5 linked regions of the Xenopus tropicalis genome follow. The protein of the gene in region 1 purifies or fractionates together with the protein of each later gene. This does not show direct contact. Links are inferred from orthologs where the notes say so. Each region holds a gene or a part of one and is shown in the gene's direction. Other genes may lie near its edges.

Region 1 (4,188 bases):
GATTAGTTGCCCGTGACAAATCTCCCTTGTTGCGGGCGACTAATCTCTCTGATATGCCATCATACAGGCTTGAATGTAAATCGCCAGTGGTATGGCATATGCGGCGTTGCGATTTCCGAAAACTGCGGAAGTTGCCTTGAGAGGAAACTTGTGCGATTTCGGGAAATCGCGTCGCCGCATATGCCATACCACTGGCGATTTACATTCAAGCCGGTGGGATGGCATATCGGGGTGATTAGTCGCCCGCAACAAGGGAGATTTGTCACGCGGCGACTAATCTTCCCGTCTGTCACAGCCCTTAGCGCCAGTATCACTTTAAGGCTAATGGCACTTGGGGTAGTGCTGGAATGGCAAATATTCTGGCAAAACCCGTAGTGACTGCTGTGAATTGCATAGACCGGTGCTTTATTTGAGGTTGTTAGAGGACTGTCTCAGCCTCAGTTTATTTGTAATGCCAAGACTTATTTAGATCTTAGTACAGACAACATGGTGTGTTTTGACTACTACCTGTTAGGGTGAAGACACACAGAGCTACTTAGTAGCAGCTACTTGTCACAGCTACTAAACGCCAGAAAATCCCCTGCCACAGACAATACTGAGAATTGCCTCTGCTAAAACACATGTAGAGACAGTTATCAGTAAATGATCAGCATTGTCTATTTTTGCAGCTGTGACAAGTAGCTGCTACTAGTAGCTCCATGTGTCTTCACCCTAAGTGCCAGTGCCAAGTGGGGTGCTGGAGTCTTTACCCTTACTGCTTCTAATGGCAAGTGCATAGGGTTTGCAACTTTTAAAAATGATTTAACCTGCTGGGCTGGGGTGACAAGGGGGGTGGGGTGATGCTGTAAAGGCCCAGGGTGATAATATGAGCAGAAGAGAATTGGCATGTTGGGCAGAGGGCAGCTTCTGGTCTGAAAAGGGATGAACAATTAGGGTGGATCAGTGCAATGACACGCAATGGCACTGTTATACTGGTCCCAGCTTTAGCATGTGTTTTACCACTGGTAGAATAGCAACCCTGAAAGTGTCCCTGCTGATACACTTGGAGCAGTAAAAAGCCATAAACTAATGCTGCCTGAAACACAAAAAGTTGATTTAAACTTTAACAACAACTTTAACATGTCCCTCCTGGCCTAGTCTAAAGAGGAGCATCAAACTAAACTCATACAGATTAATGCGGGTTTAGCCAGAGAATTATATAGGTGACGTCACGCAAAGCTTGTCCCAATCCTGTCACGACATGGCCACGCCCCGTGTTATTGCTGGTAGGTGGGAGACACGTGACGTTTCCTGGGCGGGAGTTTGATGACGCGAGGGGGCGGAGTCCGGGGAAGCTCTGTGAGACGGCCGCAGTGGTGCCCGGAGCTGGCAGCGTGTGAATCGGACGGGAGCTCGGAAGGAGGAAGAGGCGGCCCGGGGAGGGGAGGGGAGGCCGAGGACGGGACATCCGCCCCGGTATGTTGGCAGCTGTGTCAGCTGGTTGGTGAAGTCGATAGGTTTCCCGCAGCAGTGTATGAGGGCATGTCGGTGCCACACACTGCTTGTTCTGCTCCTTGCCCCTAGGCTACTATTCCTTGTCTCCGCCTGGCATTAGCTACGGGCAATACCACTAGTGCTTTGCGCTGCTGTCGGTGATCCCATTCCCCGCTTTGCGTTTTTCTCTCAAGCCTTTCATTGTCGTGGTTTGTTGCGATCCGCTATTCTCCGGTCTCAGTACTCGCTCACATCTCTATGGCCTTAAGGGCCACCGGATATCTCGCTAGCTGTTTCCTTTCATCAGGGGCTTCTGGTTATTGTGTCACAGGTGGGCTAATGCTAGCCTGACTTCATTCATCATATGACTTGAACCCTGTACCCTCCTAGTGCCGCTGCCAAATCTGCCCATATCCATGTATAGTGTATAGCAGCAGCCTCCTTGCCAAGTGTATCCATGTATGTGCTACTTCTTTTGTGTCTTCCTTGTCTCCATGTGTAATGCTCACATTTAGCTTCACTCTCCTTGCCAAGTGTATCCATGTATTTCCCACCTCTGTTGTGTCTTCCTTGTCTCCATGTGTAATGCTCACATTTAGCTTCACTCTCCTTGCCAAGTGTATCCATGTATGTGCCACCTCTGTGGTGTCTTCCTTGTGTCTTTGTGCACTCTTCACATTTAGCTTCACCCTCCTTGCCAAGTGTATCCATGTATGTGCCACCTCTGTGGTGTCTTCCTTGTCTCCATGTGTAATGCCCACATTTAGCTTCACCCTCCTTGCCAAGTGTATCCATGTATGTGCCACCTCTGTGGTGTCTTCCTTGTCTCCATGTGTAATGCCCACATTTAGCTTCACCCTCCTTGCCAAGTGTATCCATGTATGTGCCACCTCTGTGGTGTCTTCCTTGTGTCTTTGTGCACTCTTCACATTTAGCTTCACCCTCCTTGCCAAGTGTATCCATGTATGTGCCACCTCTGTGGTGTCTTCCTTGTCTCCATGTGTAATGCCCACATTTAGCTTCACCCTCCTTGCCAAGTGTATCCATGTATGTGCCACCTCTGTGGTGTCTTCCTTTTGTCTTTGTGCACTCTTCACATTTAGCTTCACCCTCCTTGCCAAGTGTATCCATGTATGTGCCACCTCTGTGGTGTCTTCCTTGTCTCTATGTGTAATGCTCTCATTTAGCTTCACCCTCCTTGCCAAGTGTATCCATGTATGTGCCACCTCTGTGGTGTCTTCCTTGTCTCTATGTGTATTGCCCACATTTAGCTTCACTCTCCTTGCCAAGTGTATCCATGTATGTGCCACCTCTGGTGTCTTCCTTGTCTCTATGTGTAATGCCCACATTTAGCTTCACTCTCCTTGCCAAGTGTATCCATGTATGTGCCACCTCTGTGGTGTCTTCCTTGTCTCTATGTGTAATGCTCTCATTTAGCTTCACCCTCCTTGCCAAGTGTATCCATGTATGTGCCACCTCTGTGGTGTCTTCTTTGTGTCTTTGTGCACTCTTCACATTTAGCTGCAATCTCCTTGCCAAGTGTATCCATGTATGTGCCACCTCTGTGGTGTCTTTCTTGTCTCCATGTGTAATGCCCACATTTAGCTTCACCCTCCTTGCCAAGTGTATCCATGTATGTGCCACCTCTGTTTTGTCTTCCTTGTCTCCATGTGTAATGCTCACATTTAGCTTCACTCTCCTTGCCAAGTGTATCCATGTATTTCCCACCTCTGTGGTGTCTTTCTTGTCTCCATGTGTAATGCTCACATTTAGCTTCACCCTCCTTGCCATCTGTATCCATTTATGTGCCACCTCTGTGGTGTCTTCTCAGTGTCCATGTAATGTCCATATTGAGATTTTTCATGATTAAAACAATAGGCAAAAAAAGTATGTTCAGAAAACAACAATTAATAGAGGGTACTCCCTTATGCAAATATAGTAAAGGATGCAAAAGTAAAGACTCTTACCCAAATAGAGGCAAAAGTAAAGCAAACTACAAAAGGTCACTTTGCACTCCAAAACAAAGTATGTTCAGCACAAGCCCTGTGTATTGAGCTTGTGCTGTGCAAGGGGGGTATACTGCCACTCCACCTTTTTTGCCAACTCAGTGTTGTCTTGCGCCTGTGCACCTTTAGGGTGAAGACACACAGAGCTACTTAGTAGCAGCTACCCCTGCCATAGACAATACTGAGAATTGCCTCTGCTAAAACACATGTAGAGACAATTATCAGTAAATGATCAGCATTGTCCATTTTAGTAGCCATGACAAGTAGCTGCTACTACCGGTAGTAGGTCATTGTGTCTTCACCCTTAATTGCATTCTCTCTGCTTAGTCTACCCTTTTTTTGTCCAAGCACTCCCCGCCAGGTATGCCGTTGTCTTTTGTTTATCTTTTGTGAAATTTACTTTGGACCAAGTGCATCGTACTTTAGCTACCAGTGTTTCCCAACCATGTTGCTCCCCTAATCCCTTTGATATTGCTTCCAGTGGCCTCAAAGCAGGTGTTCATTTTTGAATTTCTTACTTGGAGGCACAAAGGCCATGTGTACTGCCACACAGAGCCAAATATGCCATTATTTGGCACCCCCTTGGAACTTTTTTCATGCTTGCGTTGCTGCCAACTCTTTTTATTTAAATGTTTTCTATAGGTAAAAAAGTTGGACACCTTTATTTCAAACTTTCCATAGGTGTTATTTCTATATCATTTCCATAAAG
Region 2 (3,988 bases), on another chromosome or scaffold:
GTCTTCGCCCTTAGGGCTGTGGCACATGTGGAGATTAGTTGCCCATGACAAGGAAGATTTGTCACTGGCGACTAATCTCCCCGTGTGCCACAGCCCCGATATGAGAATGTAAATAGCCGGTGGGATGGCATACGCGGTGCTGCGATTTCCCTAAAATCGCGGAAGGTTCCTCTTAAGGCAATGTATGCCATCCCACCAGCGATTTATATTCTCACCGGTGGGATGTCATATCGGGGCCAAACGATCGAATTATACTGGCGGCAAGGGGCAGTCGGTTCGGGGACCGCATCAACGGGCCAATACGGTCCCTGATCCAACTGAATTTTCTAACCTGGCCGATCGAGATCTGGCCAATTTCAGGCCAGATATCGGTCGGCCAGGCCCCTCGTTTCTGCCCCTAAATGGGCAGATAAGCTGCCGAATCGGTCCAAGGGACCGATATCGGCAGCTACAATCTGCCCGTGTATGGGGACCTTTAGACACTTGGAGCTACTTAGTAGCAGCTACTTGTCACAGCTACAAAACACCAGAAAATACCCTGCCATAGACAATACTGAGAATTGCCTTTGCTAAAATACACAGAGACAATTATCAGTAAATTGACAGCATTGTGTATTTTTGTATCTGCTACAAGTAGCTCCTGTCTTAGCCCTATAGTGAAAAAACACTACTCACTTTGCTCTATTCTAGAAGTGCAAAGAGCTGAGCTTCAGGGTGCAAGGAGAACATATTTCTCACTTTCTATATATTTGCTGATATTCATTGTTTTCCACATACATTCTCATCTGCTTTTTTGTATTTAGTTTTTTTGGTTCTGTATCATCCATCGCTAACAAATACATATTAAGAAATGAAAGTAAAAGGGCAGGAGACTCCATGTACCGGTCCAATAGAATGTACAGCACCCCATACAGCCATTGTTGTAGTTCAACAGCAGCTAGTGTGCCACAAGGTGAGCATCTCTGCCCTGGGGTGAAATGATGGAAACCCCAAGCATCTAGTTATAATAAGTAAATGACCCAGCGATTATCTGCTCAGCACCAAATAAAAGCACTGCTTTAAAAAAATGTATTTGGTAAAAAGTGTGGGACGTTTGTGAAGGTAATAGGGCAATTTTAAGAATTGGGAAAGGACTGTGGCTCCTTTAAGAGTTAAGAAACTTGAGATTTGTTTGCGCAACAGTCAGTGCAGCGGAGCCGCCAAAGTGTCTAGACTGCCATGTGACAGGGAACAGCCAATGGGAATGCTTTCAGTGGGCCCGAGTGAGTGAGAGAGGGTGAGCACAAAGAGCAGGGATCAGTGTGTGCAGGGACCGGAGCAACAGAGTGAAGCGCCTACTGCTATCGGGGAAGCTGAGAGGAACCCAGGGGACCGGAGCGGGGAGCCTACTAGGAAGTGTGCGCAGTGCAAGCCGATAGAGAAAGGAAGCCTGTGCGGGACGGTAGCAGCAATGTGCAGTGTGTGAGAGCGCCACAAGCCCGGCTGCAGTAGGCTGCAATCCCCGGGAGTGTAAGGGCTAGAGCCGTGCAAATACCCCGCAGCCCCGCTCTATCCAGCGTTCAGCATCCTTCTCCGGAGCATCCCGCTGCGCCCAGTCTCCGTGCCCCTGCTGGATGCCCTGTGCCGTGAGTACCGCCATGTGACAGCCGTGGGGGTTCCGTCTGGAGAAGCAGCCTTCCGAGATGTGACCCGGGAGGGGGACACCCCAATACGTGCCCAGCCGACTGACTCTCTATCCGTGCGGGCACCGGAGAGACTGGCACAGGAGAGAGCGCTCTTCCCCCATGCCGACCCTTCTAGTTGGCCCCGGGCACTGAGGCACCGGAGAGCCGGGCGCACCCTCGGGGGCGCGCCGCATGTTCAGGTCCAGACGCACCGGGCTGGTTCGGCGCCTGTGGAGGAGCCGGGCGGGCGGGGATGGAGGTGTCTCTTGCTGCGGTCTGTCGGAGCAGCCCTCTGGCTCCCCGGAGCTCCGCGCCGCTGCTTCTGCGATCCTGAAGCGACTGAAAGAGCAAGCCCTGTGCGCCCTGCTGGAGGCCGTGGAGTCCCGGGGTGCAGCGCCCGGAGGGTGTGTGTGTGTGACCCGACACGGGCCCCCCCCTCACCTGCTCTTGTGCAGACTCTTCCGCTGGCCAGAGCTGCAGCATCCCGGGCAACTGAAAGCCTTGTGTGGGTGCCAGGGAGCCGGGGGCTCGGAGAATAACAGTGTGTGCTGCAACCCCTACCATTACAGCAGGGTGTGCGGACCGGGTGAGTGCCAATGCATCCTTCCTAACAGCCCCTGCTAGGCTAGGGGAGAGCCTGGAGCATCCCTTGTGCAGATTATGTCTCTATCACTATTGCACAGTGTCCAGCAAATTCCTGTGAGTGATGTCTGTCCCATGGCCCCTCAGGTTGTTTTAATACAACAGGTAGAAGCCAGGATGCTGGGAGTTGTAGTTCAGCTTCTATAATCTCAGGCTAAGGGCACAGACAGGACATCCCTAATAAACACAGTCTGCTTCCCTCATGTTAGTGCACCCGCTTTGGTTTATTGCCCGGGGTGCCTTCATCTTTATCTCTGGCCCTGCCAATAGCTGGAGGCTGTCTACATATTATCATTATTGTTACACTTCTTTAATAGGTAAGAGGTTGCAGGAAATGTAGCACTAATTACATATTACTCTAGTTCCTCTCTTCCAGGAATGTACTTTAATGAAGTCATTTGAACTAAAGATCCTATGTCATTAACAGGTGCCTTATTGCTCTTTTGCTATTAGAGATGTTTAGACATTAGGTCTCTCTGGAAATTAATGATCCAAAATTTCCAGCATTTCCAACACTGTCAGCAGCTGGGGGAGGGGGTCTCTGGTTGGATACCCTGATTATAGTGATAGGGCATTTATAGTTTTGTTTGGAGCACTCACTGGCATAACTCTTACATATTAACCAAAATATTATCAGCGTAGTATAGCTGGAGGCAGAATGGTGGTCTGTTAAGGGCCTCATAGGCTGCCTGGTTTTGCTCGAGAACAATTTGCTCCTAACCAATCATACTGGGCTGAAAAATGGGGCACAGATGACAAGATCCACTTGTATGGTAAGCTGTCCAACTTGGATACCTGCATTATGGTCCACATCAGACTGGTTTGTCCCTAGTGGTGTAGCTACTAAGGGAGCTACGGGTGTGACTGATCTGGGGCCTACTACCCTGGTGAGTACTGAGGGGGGACCTGAAACTCTGTGGCCATAGTCCACGGAAGCCAATCTAATGGCATGGGGGAAGGGGGTCCCATGCAGTGGTAGCGCCTTGATGCAAATTTCGACCCATGAGCCCTTGTCTACACCACTGGTTGTTGGTGAATGATTAGATCATAAACAAAATAGGGGCCTAGGCAGACATGACAAGAGTCCATCAAGGGGGCAGGGGAAAGATTCTTGAAATCATCGCCCATTCATTTGAATGGAAATAGCCTGAAAGATGCTGGTGTACTCAACACCATGACATAAAAAAACTCTTGAAATCGCTCAGTATTTGCCAGTGGAAAGCCCTTTGAATGGTGTTGGTAATATGAAGTTGTGCAAAGTTTCATCTTGCAGCAACTTCACGTGACTTCGGATTACCGAATTGATGGCAATGGCTTTCCACTGGCGACTCCTATTGTTGCTGGTGGAAATCCTTTTTGGAGCAGTTTGTCACCCGAGACAGTAGAGATCTATCGCGGGAAACTAACCACTCTATGGATTCTTACCCTTAGGGTGGAGACACACTGAGTTACTTAGTAGCAGCTAATTTTTCAGGGCTACAAAATGCCAGAAAATACCCTGCCATAGACAATACTGAGAATTGTCTCTGGTAAATCACACGTAGAGACAATTATCAGTAGCCATGACAAGTAGCTGCTGCTACTAGTAGTTTTGTGTGTCTTCACCCTTATAGGACAAGTAACACCAAAAAATAAAAGGGTTTTGTAGGCATTTAAATGTATATGTACTTTGCATTGGTAAA
Region 3 (4,212 bases), on another chromosome or scaffold:
TTACGTGTTAATGTTGTTAGCATACAATTTGCATGTTTGCTTTTTGATCCATGCCAAGTACTTAACGGTACTGTATGCACCATGCATGTTGTTATCAAAAAGTTTGAGGCCCATGACACTGTCACCAATCTCCCTGGATATGGACTTATAAAAATTGATCTAGTGTGAATCGTGGTGATGGAACTTCAATTTACTACCAGAGATTCAAGTTTACATTCGTCCTTACAGTTAAACATCGAGTTTTGCTGCAGTTTTAGAGTTCCTTGAATAGCAGTGCAATATTAAAGATAGGGACGAACCCCTGAATCCTTCCTAAATGGGTTTGGTTGATACCGAAGCAAATCCGAATCCTAATTAGCATATGCTATGAATCAGGACTGTACTTTAACTTCACTTCATTATCTGCAAATCTATAAAAACATTTCAAACACGTTCAAACTAAAAATTGACCAAAGGGGCTACCAGAATGAACCCTGGGTCCCATCCGCCCCTAGCCATGCCATTCCATTCATATCCACCCATTGTGCTGAGTGCCGCCTAAAGGTGGCCATACACGCACCGATAATATCGTACAAAACCTCGTTTCGAACGATATTCGGTGCGCGTATGGTATGTCGGTGAGTTGACCGATATCGCAGGAAGCTGCTGATATCGGACGACTCGCCGATCGGACCAGTTTGAAAATTTTGATCGGGCACCATAGAAGGCGCCTGACCAAATTCTCCCTTCAGAGCTGAATCGGCAGAAGGAGGTAGAAATCCTATTGTTTCTACCTCCTTACCTGCAGATTCAGCCCTGAATGGTGTGTGGCGGATCTGACGATGTTTCGTGCGACCATCAGATCGCCACCTGTATGGCCAGCTTTAGCTTCCTGCTGACACCCTACTTGAAACCCTTCCAGTGCTCCTTCTCACTGATATTCATTGTGCAGAAATCGGTTAGGATAGTCTCTACAATGTACACAATGAAAATCGTACTATTATTTCCTCAAGTATGGCCAGGACGGCATCAGAATTTGCTGTCTCGTTCTTTTTACGCATTTTAGCGTTTTTTTGTTGTACTAATGCACTGAAGGCCCCTTTAAAACAAAGCCATTTAAGTTTGTCTGGCTGCCATGCCACTGATTTTGTTTGCCCATGTCACACTGCGTTTCCTATTCCCAACTCTTTCCGGTTCCGCTCTGCTTTCAGTTCTCACAAGGGTTTGTAGGAGCGTGTTCCCCGCCCCTGGCCCCGCCCATCCAGACACAAACACTGGAGGCGGGGTCTCTCGGCTGGCGGTGATGTCACGGTCCGTCTGTGACCGCTGTGCTTAGTGATGGCGGAGGAGGGTTCGTCGATTCGCGGAGGGTGAGCAGCCATTGATATCGCTTGCACTGTACTTAGTCAGGGTGCAGTGAGCTGGCAACGTCCTAAAGGTGTGAAGGCCTGCGGGAAGGCCTTTAGAAGTGACCAGTGAAAAGCCGAAGGGGAGGCCAGAGCTAAGAAGCCCCCAGGCAGGATGGGCAATTGCCTCAAGTCCCCGACTTCTGATGATATCTCCCTGCTGCATGAGTCGCAGTCTGACCGTGCGAGCTATGGGGACGGGAACGACGGGGACCAGGAGCCGCCTCCCCCATACCAGGTAAGGAGAGCTGTGTATGTACGTGTATAGCCAGCTGGGATGTGCATGGCGGGATGGCAGGCTGGCTACTCGGGCGGCGGGGAACAGTCAGGCGAGTCTTGCAGCCCTCACTCGGCTTGAGCCCCAGGAGGGATTAGTTGCTGGCGGTAAGGCCACACCGCTAAGGGACAAAGCAGGGTTGTACCATTGGGGCTGTTCCACTACCGCCTTTACTTTGTGTCCCAATCTGTCACTACTACTCCGTGCTTGGGAAAGAACAGGGATACCAACATTTCTGTAAGCAAACAATGTAGGGCCAGTGAAGCTGCATTGTTACCCAGGGACTGCATACAAGCAAGCAGCCCATAATAACCTGTGTGATGTTACCTGCTGGGAATGCAGCAAGGATTCTCACCTCATTCATCTCACAGGGCTCTAGTTGTGCCTCATCTGGAAATAATAGGTTGGGCAGTTACTGCCTTGGGAAATCCACTGGTGCTGATGGGCCAAAATGGAGAAGTTGGTTTCTGAGTATATGTAAAGTATGAGTATATATAAATGTGAGTATGAGTATATATAAAAAGGCATAACAATAATGGGAGTCTAAGCTGTGTTTTGTATACTAGGTGGTTGCTTGATTATTGTGCTGTATTTATATTTTGTGGAGCTTTCCCTTAGTGTGTGTGTGTGTGTGTGTATATATATATATATATATATATATATATATATATATATATATATATATATATATTTATTAGACACTAGTGTGTACTGGGGGTATAATATACAGTGGGCATACATTTATACAATTCTTTTACTGTGTCCTGCGGGCCTATATCTTTGAATCACATAAGCAAAGACTTATTAGTAGCTTTAGCTGGCTGAGTAGTATTTGTTCGCCCAGTGTAAAGGTGAAAATGCGAAATATTTTGGATCTCTTCCCTATGGCAGTGGTGTGTTGGTATATACTGTGCCTTATAGAAAATGAACTTTTTCTGCTTCAACCTGTAAGCAGAGCAGGAAGTTATTTTTTTCTGGTATGTGAACCACAGTGCTGGCTTGACCCAGATGTGTTTTCAGTAACGCAGAGTTGATGCCATCTTTGTGACAGCGGCGCTGCACCAAACACGATACAAGGATACGCCAGCTCTTTGAAGCTCCTGTATAGAAAAGGCCCCCCTTTTTTTTGAGAAAAACATCATGGCATCTCACCCCATCTCTTCCCTCTTTACACTTCTGCTTATTGATATGAATAGGAAATACTGGCTGTTACCATGTATGGAAGGCTATTACCTAAAATGTAGGTTGCACATTTTTGCAACATAATCTTCAAAGAAGGGCAAATTGCATTACTTCAGTGGGAAAAGTTCTGCAGTGTTTTAACTGATGACGTTTTTCTGATCTTTTCTCCATTCAGTGATATGGGGACCTATATCATCCTGTCTGACATGATTTTCCCGCCTTCTCAATTTAATATTGACTGGAGAAGCCACCATTTTTTGTTTTCACGTGCAGGACCGTACACGGCTGAACTGTTAAAGAATAGCCAAACTCATTCCTTGTAACGACACCCGTTTTAGATGAAAATAGACTAGTTTTTTTGTTTTTTACTTTTTCACAGGAACTTGGTTAATCCTTTAAGTCGGTTTTGAGACCCGAGAACTTGTCATCAGATGACCACTGCTTACATTTACATCAATTCACTTTTTTTGTGTTTAAATCCCCTTTAACACTGACAAGGTGTTTTTTTTTTATTTTTTTTTTTATAGTTTTCTTGATACTTCTGGCCATAAGGTGTAGATATGAAACTACTGTTTTTAGTTTTCATGGGGAGCTGAATGAGTTGGAAAGCTAGGGTTTGTCAGTAACACATTAGCCATGTGGGAGCTGACCCTGAGGTCGGCATATCACTTGTGTTTGGGTGTAGGCCATGAAGTCCAATGGCTGTCTGAGAGAGGCTGCTGCCTTTGTTATGATCAAAATTGGGATGTCACTGTCTGCTCAGCTTATTTCTTGTACAAGTGCAACAGCTGCCTTCAGTTAAAGGAACAGTAACACCAAAAATATATCAAAGTAATTAAAATACTTTGTTGTCCTGCAGTGGTAACAGCTGTGTGTTTGTTTAGACACACTGTTATAGTTTATATAAACAAAGCTGCTCTGTAGCCATGGGGGTAGCTATACAAATTGAAATAGGGCAGAATGGTGAAGGTTACATAGCAGATAACAGAAGCTGTGTTTTCAGCTTACATGGCTGCTGCCCCCTTGGCTAAACAGCAGCTTATTCATATAAAATATAGTAGTGTTTCTGAAGTAAACACTGATGCAGGGCAACAGTACATTCAAATTACTTTAAAGCACTTTAAATTTTGATGTTACTGTTCCTTTAATGTGCATAACTTTACTTTTTTTATTTGCAAAGGAACAGTAAAAGTAAGAGTACACATAGAGCAATGACTTTGTGATAGCAAATCAACCGCAAAGTAATAAGTACTATTGGAACTGCCATTGTCAGTAAAATACTCCATGCAGTACAGATACTGTGAAATGATCTTGTTTTTCTCTGAGGGTCTTTTTATCTACAGTATTGTTCATTCTACTAACAGCGTT
Region 4 (4,147 bases), on another chromosome or scaffold:
GAGGGACAGGTAGGAGGCAGACAGAGGGACAGGTAGGAGGCAGACAGAGGGACAGGTAGGAGGCAGACAGAGGGACAGGTAGGAGGCAGACAGAGGGACAGGTAGGAGGCAGACAGTAATTAGAGACAAGCTTGCGGACGTTGCAACATGTACACTTTGTACCCAAACGTCACGAGCCAAAAGTGAGATTTAAGTAGCGGCTCGAGGGGGACTTGTCCAGCCCTAACAACCTGCACTGAAACCTCTCAGCCCGACTTCCCCTCCAACATCACAAGCCGGCCATTTAACCCCATTCATGCACAGTCAAGCTGAGCTGATAACTAAGGCCGATACCCTCTCCCCGGAGAGCTCACTCCATGCATCTACTACCTCTATGTTAGAAACAACATGAAACCCGAGTATGTATAATGTATTCTCCTTATACCTGCCAGGCCCTGCAAGCAGTTTATTCATTAGTAATCAATCTGCTCCCCACAGCTTGAACTACAGCTCCCAGCAACCCCTAACAGCCTTAGCCTACATCCTCTCCCACAGCTCAGCAGCAGCAATGCCATAAAGGTGTATCAGCCTGCCACTGGGAGTAATTATTATACCCAGGTACTTACATCTAAAGAGGTAGTTCACCTTTGAGTTAACTTTTAGTATGAGATAGAGAGTAATATTCTGAGATAATTTGCAGTTTGTCATTATTTTTTGTAGTTCTGTAATTATTTCACTTTTTGTTCAGCAGCTCTCCAGATTGGAATTTCAGCAGCTATCTGGTTGCTAGGGTCCAAATTACCTTAGCAACCAGCAGGATTGGACTGGGCCGACGGGACACCAGGAAAAAACCTGGTGGGCCGCAGGGAGGCAGCCGGCGGGAGTCCCTACTGGGGGTGTGGGGGCCCCTGGTGACCAGGCATTGGTTTCAATGAGAGACTGATATTTCTAAACAGAAAGAAAAGTAATTAAAAGTAACAATACCAATAAAATTGTAGCCTCACAGAGCCATAGTTTTTGTTGCGGGGGTCGGTGACCCCTGTTTGAAAGCTGGAAAGAGGCAGGAGAAGGGGAATAATTTAAAAATGATAAAAATAAATAATGAAGACCAATTGAAAAGTTGCTTAGAATTGGCCATACTGAAAAGCTAACCTCCCCTTTAATGTTACACTGATGGCTTTATGCCCCACTAAATGCATAGTGCACACTCTCACTCAGACTCACACTCTCACTCAGACTCACACTCACACTCAGACTCACACTCTCACTCACACTCTCACTCAGACTCACACATATGACTGACTGTGACATAAAAGAGGAGCTTTCAGTAACCCGAAGCCTTTGCGCAACACAATCCTTGGGGTTTTTTTTTTTTGTTAAAGCGACAGGCTGTCTAGACACCCACGTGATGGGCCGCGCCATTGCGCACAGGAGACTGACAGAGCCGAGAGAGCCGGGGAGAGAGAGAGACAGGCACAGACAGGGGAGGGGGAAGTGAGAGACAGTCAGGGAGAGAGGAGGGGCACTGACAGCAATGAGCAGGGTGAAGTCCCTTGGTAACTGGGTGCTGTGAGTGTGAGCTTTGTGGACACAGCACCCCCCCAGTAGAGTGTAGGTGCCCCAGTGAACCCCCATAGCCGGCCCTCGTTAGCGGAGGGATACCAGTCCTCTCCCCGCTGCCCCTCGCCGTGTCTCCGCTGTGCGGCCGGTCCCTCCTCCTCTCCCCCCCCCCTCTCCCCATCGCACATTTCCATAACACAGACGGGGGCGGATCAGCCCTTTGAGAAGGAGGAAAAGACAAGTCCCACTTTATTTTTTTCCCCTCTCTCCTACTGAGCGGCCGGATAAAGGATTTTTCTTGTGGATTAAACAAGCGAGAGGCGCAACCCAGGGCTTCTACTTCTTTACTGGAACCGCATCGCGTACGGATTATCTATAAGGTTCTGCCGCCCTAGTGCCCCTACTCTCTGCCCATTTGCCCCCCATACACAAGGGATATTATCGGCAGACCCGCTCGTTTGTGGATGTACGAGTTGTGGGGGGAGCCCGCTTTCCTACCGGGAGGATTGTGTATAAATGCCCTTTAGATCCCAGGCCAAGCCGGGCAGCGCTCTGTGCTCCATTCAATGCCCCGCTGCTCCCGGCTCGGCTGCCCAGCATTAGCCCGCTGTATGTGTAGCCGGGGCGGCTGCTTGCCGTTTGCAGTATTCCTGTCGCTGCGACTCGGATCCCCCCGCCGCACTTTGCAGGATCTCTTCCCCTAAAAGACTGGCGCATGTTCCAGATCGCTTTGGCTTGTCGGACCCCCAGCTCCCCCCTACCCTCCCGGGCTGCTGCTGCTGGTCTCTGCCCGGCCTCGGATCCAGGATTCTTCATGATTTGCGGGCGTCATGCACGTTGTTTAGCCGGGAAGCCTTGCTCTCGTCCCGCATGTTCAGGACCAAACGATCGGTGCTCGTCCGGCGACTCTGGAGGAGCCGAGCTCCCGGGGAGAGCGGGGAAGGGGAAGGCGGGGAGAGGGTTCATGGAGCCGGGGGTTGCTGCCTGGGCAAATCGGCGAATAAGGTGCCCGGGAAGGCGCTGGGGGGCTCGGAGGCTGCAGAACTGAAAGCCCTCGCCCACTCCGTGCTGAAGAAGCTGAAGGAGAAGCAGCTGGAGGGGCTGCTGCAGGCGGTGGAGTGTAAAGGGGGAGCCCGCAGCCCCTGCCTGTTGCTGCCGGCGGCCAAGCTGGACTCCAGGCTGGGGCAGCAGCCCTTCTCCCTGCCGCTGCTGCTCTGCAAGGTCTTCAGGTGGCCGGACCTCAGGCACTCGTCCGAGGTCAAACGACTTAGTTGCTGCGATTCCTATGGCAAGAACAACCCGGAGCTGGTCTGCTGCAACCCGCACCATCTCAGCAGGCTGTGCGAACTAGGTAGGTGCCCCCTGTACCCAGACTGGCACTCACACACAGGGCAGGGTGGGTTTGCTCTGACTGCCATCCAGACTGGCACATACACATGGCACGGTGGGTTTGCTCTGACTGCCATCCTGTCCTGCAGGGACTTTGACACCCAGACTGGCACACACACACATGGCAGGGTGGGTTTGCTCTGACTGCCACCCTGTCCTGCAGGGACTTTGACACCCAGACTGGCACACACACATGGCAGGGTGGATTTGCTCTGACTGCCACCCTGTCCTGCAGGGACATTGGCACCCACTGGGCACAGCTGGTGTGTGTAGTTGGCATCAGAGGGTCAGTCTGGCATTAGTATTTCAATGCAGCCACAGGCTTGGGGGTTCAATATTGTGATGGGTAATGGGGATACTGATTTACTGCCATTTGGCACAGTTATAATGGGGTATATGACTGGGCATATTTATCTCAGGGCACAACTATTCTTTTTCCATATTTATCCTTGGGTATAGCGGGAATGGCAAAGGGGGCATGGCTCTGGGTTTCATGGGTACAGCACATTGGATACATTGGTCGCTGTGGCTAATAGCAGGGCAGAGTAACTTGCCCCTTGGTATAACTGACAGTGTGGCTTGGGGATAGTGGGCACGGTGGGTGCTGTGGGGGTACAGTCTGCTGTGTAAGCTGGGAGGTGTCATTGTCACTATGTCATTCCGTTGTACTGTGTGAAAGGAATGGGGGGGGTCACACGGATTGTGGGGGTGCCTTGTGTCACTTTGCCAGGAAACCTTCATATACAAGATACACCCCATTATCATCCAGTCTCCAGTCCTATAGCAGGTCTGCTGGGCTAATATCAGTGGCAATAAAGGGGGGGGGGGGCTTATGTATTTCTGGGGGGGGGGTCTCGGCTCATGTCATTATTAGGTATTATTCCCTATGACAGTAGTGACAGTGCCAGGGGGCTGAGTAGTTACTACTGACATCTCATTCATCCCCCCATCAATGGATCGGGGCTGTCCCTCCCTTTATTGCACTTATACCCTAGTAATATATTGTTTTTCCCTTCATTTACCTTTTAAGCTTATTTCTGTTCTGCTTAATGTGTTTATTAATCATGCCCTCCCCCCTGTTTCCTATTTACCAGCCTACTTTTATTATTACACCCCTATTAAAGTTGGGGTGTAAAGCGTAAACCCCCTCTTTTTGCTTCAATGCCCCTTTCTCCGGCGGCAGTTTCAGCGCACTTTTATATACGGCTGTGCGTATAAT
Region 5 (3,068 bases), on another chromosome or scaffold:
GTAGGCAGTGGCTATTAAAGCAAATAAAGTGCTATCTTGCATAAGAAAGTGCATTAACTTGAGGGAAAACATAATTTTGCCTCTTTATAGGTCCCTGGTGTTATGGGTAAGTCCTAATGTAGCACCGTGTGGTTTCTCTGCAGTGCAAGACCTTGAGATGGAGACTGGAGGAGGGAATGGTGTTTACTGAATACGAGCAAATTCCAAAGAGAAAGCCAGAGGGTGTTTTTACTACTGCAGTGTTGCCAGAAAATCTAGAACGCAACCGTATCTGCGAGGATATTCCTTACGAAGAGAATAGAGTCGAGCTTGTCCCAACCAAAGAAAACCCCACGGGTTACATCAACGCTTCCCATATAAAGGTAATAATAACGAGCTCCTAATTACAGCCGCTGTTACAGATTCAGGTTGCACTGCACAAATTGTTATGTTATGATTCTGCTGAAAGGGCCCAATGTCAATGATTCTACAGAACAATCTATAGAAAATAGAGGATGGCATGGCAGTGTGCCACCCTAATATTATAGACCTCATTCATCAATGGAATGCTAATGGAAACCCACAATGGACAGCTAGTAGACAGGCACAGGTCCTTATGACTTGAGGGACCCAGCATCAACCCGAAGCCCAACCAGAATCCATTCACTCGCCAACAGTTTTCACTGGGAGTAATTTTGGGCTCAGTAAAGGTATTACATGTCATTTGGTAGCTTATTATGTTTCTGCCTTTGACGGATCTGACTCTTCCATTCCAGGTCACTGTGAGTGGGAAAGACTGGCATTACATAGCTACCCAAGGCCCGCTGCCCCACACCTTTCACGACTTCTGGCAGATGGTGTGGGAGCAGGGGGTGAATGTCATTGCCATGGTCAACGCTGATGAGGTAGGTTTCCATAATAGCAGGGCTGTGTGGGTCAAGCTTGACTTCCCATGTTTAATAGACCATGCATCATGCTAAATCTTTGATAAAGAGGGGATGTCAGATTGGCAGGAGAGCTTTGGGAAAAAATAAGGAGGATTAAGGAAAGGAAACAGAGATTAGAATGGCATTTTATTGTAAGCTTGGCCATGGGCACCTTTACAGAATCTGGGAAATCAGGAATGTAATGATGTATCTGTTTATCTTTCTTCTCCTGTTAATATAAATGATGGCACTTATGTCCAGTAGAACAAAGTCTGTTCCATCACAAAAGAACAAAAAGAAATTGAGAAACGATTTGGCATAAACTATTCAGGGGTAAAGACCGGAATAAAGTTGATATATTTTAAAGGGATACTAATCATATTTAAAAAACTATTGGTATGTCAGTGGTGTAAAATACCTGGCTCGGCTCTTAGGGGGTCAGGTTGCTGCTAATCTACATAGAGGAGAGATGGTAGAATCCTCAGTCTGATGTACTGAGTCGGACCATGAAGTTCAGGTAGATGTACCACCTAAAAGTAAGCTTTTTGTAGAAGACATACATTCTCCTGGGATTGAACTGACATACTAGGTCATTTGTTTTTCAGATAGGGTCAGTATCCCTTTAAAGGGCCTGCGAAACCTAAATATAAATTTTTTTTTCATGTTATTTGTAAATGGAATTCTTATTTGGATCAGTATATAAGTATTTTGCTATTTTTCTGCACTGTTGGTCCTACCTCTGTGTAGCACTGAAACAGTCAGTTCCCACAATGCTGCCTTCTGTGATGAACGGAATGGTAGCCGGCTGCTGTGTAGTTTTTCTGTGTAGTTTTCTATGGCCAGCAGCCCACAGGCCACTCAACACAACCTATGTATACGTGCGGACCTGCTCTTCAGGGCCAAAGAGTATGCATGGCACACATCCGTAGGGTGAGCATCGAATCAAAAACCCTTCACCACCAGTTAGTGCATTGAGCAGTCATCTCTGGCAAAGGCAATCAAATTCAGGATTTCGGTTCCCCTTTAAGCGCTGGTTGATGTGAAAAACAAGTGCAGTAACCATTGTTATTCTGTCGCAAGGATTTGCCTTCCACAAGCTCTGCCAAAAACAACAGGCATCATTCCATGCAAGCCAAAAGCACCATGTTTCATTGTGTCCTTTGTGCAGTGATCCCATGTTCCCTCCACGTCCCAACCAGCCTCGCATTCCAGCATCCTTATCGGGTGTGACGGCACCAGCGCTTGTTATTCTTCTGCAACTTTCCTTTCTTATATAATGTTTCATCCTGTGCCAAGTGCAACAGGCCATTGTTTCCCCCAGCTCTGGGCCCGCTGTGTTCAGCAGGGAAACACAATATCAGTCACTTGAGCTCTGCTTAGTGTCAGTATGGGAGCTCCCGCTACACACACACCGACTTATTGGCCTTATTGGCACTGTGTGTATATTAATGCAGTTAATACCCACAGTTTGCTCTAGGTATGGTAACCTCTAACATCCAATCAAATGCTTGCATTTATAAATAGTCCAGCAAATGCTGCTTGCCAATGGGTCGCTCTGGGATACTAGAACTGGAGCAAACCTTGCACTTGGGGAACGTCACCCAAACACAAGTGAAGCTTTTTGAGAAGTAAACATCATTTCAAGCAACTACATCAGATAAAAAATATGCAGCCTTTTCATGATTTTTAATGTAATAATATGGTTTGTAACAGTTCCCTAAGCCCCGCCCCCTAGTCTCCTGTGGATCTGGCTACTTTGAGACTCATAAAAATGTAACAGTAGTCGCCTGCCTTCAGCCTGCCTTCAGCTTGCCTCCTCCCAATCCCACAATTCTCTACACACATGATGTCAATAAGCAAAGGAACATCACAGAGCAATGCATTGTGGGTTATGTAGTTCCTGCATGCTGTCTGTAAGCTGTGGGGAAGTTGTTACAATTTGTAACATCAGTTTTAGTCCCTCCTCCCCTGCCAGGATTTCAAATGATACAGAAAGAGAAGAACTGTTTTGCAGCTGGATTTCAGCATATAAAAATGGTATTTATTCCTACTTTTTTAAGGAACAGATTACAGTGATGGGTATACTAGGGGTTTCTGTGTTGTGTGGGGCTCTGTAACAAATGTTGGTTCTGGAGCTGGAGTTCACCTTTAGGCTAAACAGAG

Evidence for each region.
Region 2: the proteins of wwp1 (region 1) and smad6 purify together in Homo sapiens (affinity purification with western blotting; 3 studies listed by BioGRID, with this or other methods). This does not show direct contact. The link is inferred for Xenopus tropicalis from reciprocal best matches to the Homo sapiens genes WWP1 and SMAD6.
Region 3: the proteins of wwp1 (region 1) and rnf11 purify together in Homo sapiens (affinity purification with mass spectrometry; 3 studies listed by BioGRID, with this or other methods). This does not show direct contact. The link is inferred for Xenopus tropicalis from reciprocal best matches to the Homo sapiens genes WWP1 and RNF11.
Region 4: the proteins of wwp1 (region 1) and smad7 purify together in Homo sapiens (affinity purification with western blotting; 3 studies listed by BioGRID, with this or other methods). This does not show direct contact. The link is inferred for Xenopus tropicalis from reciprocal best matches to the Homo sapiens genes WWP1 and SMAD7.
Region 5: the proteins of wwp1 (region 1) and ptpn14 purify together in Homo sapiens (affinity purification with mass spectrometry; 3 studies listed by BioGRID). This does not show direct contact. The link is inferred for Xenopus tropicalis from reciprocal best matches to the Homo sapiens genes WWP1 and PTPN14.

What each region holds. Positions count from the first base shown.
Region 1 is NC_030682.2:125,462,740-125,466,927, forward strand, and holds the start of wwp1 (NEDD4-like E3 ubiquitin-protein ligase WWP1), read left to right. Parts: upstream 1-1,375; 5' UTR 1,376-1,455; intron 1,456-4,188. UniProt on the Homo sapiens protein: E3 ubiquitin-protein ligase which accepts ubiquitin from an E2 ubiquitin-conjugating enzyme in the form of a thioester and then directly transfers the ubiquitin to targeted substrates.
Region 2 is NC_030679.2:117,262,010-117,265,997, forward strand, and holds the start of smad6 (mothers against decapentaplegic homolog 6), read left to right. Parts: upstream 1-1,188; 5' UTR 1,189-1,856; coding exon 1,857-2,250; intron 2,251-3,988. UniProt on the Homo sapiens protein: Transforming growth factor-beta superfamily receptors signaling occurs through the Smad family of intracellular mediators. SMAD6 is an inhibitory Smad (i-Smad) that negatively regulates signaling downstream of type I transforming growth factor-beta.
Region 3 is NC_030680.2:96,171,011-96,175,222, forward strand, and holds the start of rnf11 (RING finger protein 11), read left to right. Parts: upstream 1-1,405; 5' UTR 1,406-1,500; coding exon 1,501-1,623; intron 1,624-4,212. UniProt on the Homo sapiens protein: Essential component of a ubiquitin-editing protein complex, comprising also TNFAIP3, ITCH and TAX1BP1, that ensures the transient nature of inflammatory signaling pathways. Promotes the association of TNFAIP3 to RIPK1 after TNF stimulation.
Region 4 is NC_030677.2:205,594,074-205,598,220, reverse strand, and holds the start of smad7 (mothers against decapentaplegic homolog 7), read left to right. Parts: upstream 1-1,346; 5' UTR 1,347-2,409; coding exon 2,410-2,890; intron 2,891-4,147. UniProt on the Homo sapiens protein: Antagonist of signaling by TGF-beta (transforming growth factor) type 1 receptor superfamily members; has been shown to inhibit TGF-beta (Transforming growth factor) and activin signaling by associating with their receptors thus preventing SMAD2 access.
Region 5 is NC_030681.2:13,586,713-13,589,780, forward strand, and holds part of ptpn14 (tyrosine-protein phosphatase non-receptor type 14), read left to right. Parts: intron 1-143; coding exon 144-362; intron 363-755; coding exon 756-884; intron 885-3,068. UniProt on the Homo sapiens protein: Protein tyrosine phosphatase which may play a role in the regulation of lymphangiogenesis, cell-cell adhesion, cell-matrix adhesion, cell migration, cell growth and also regulates TGF-beta gene expression, thereby modulating epithelial-mesenchymal transition.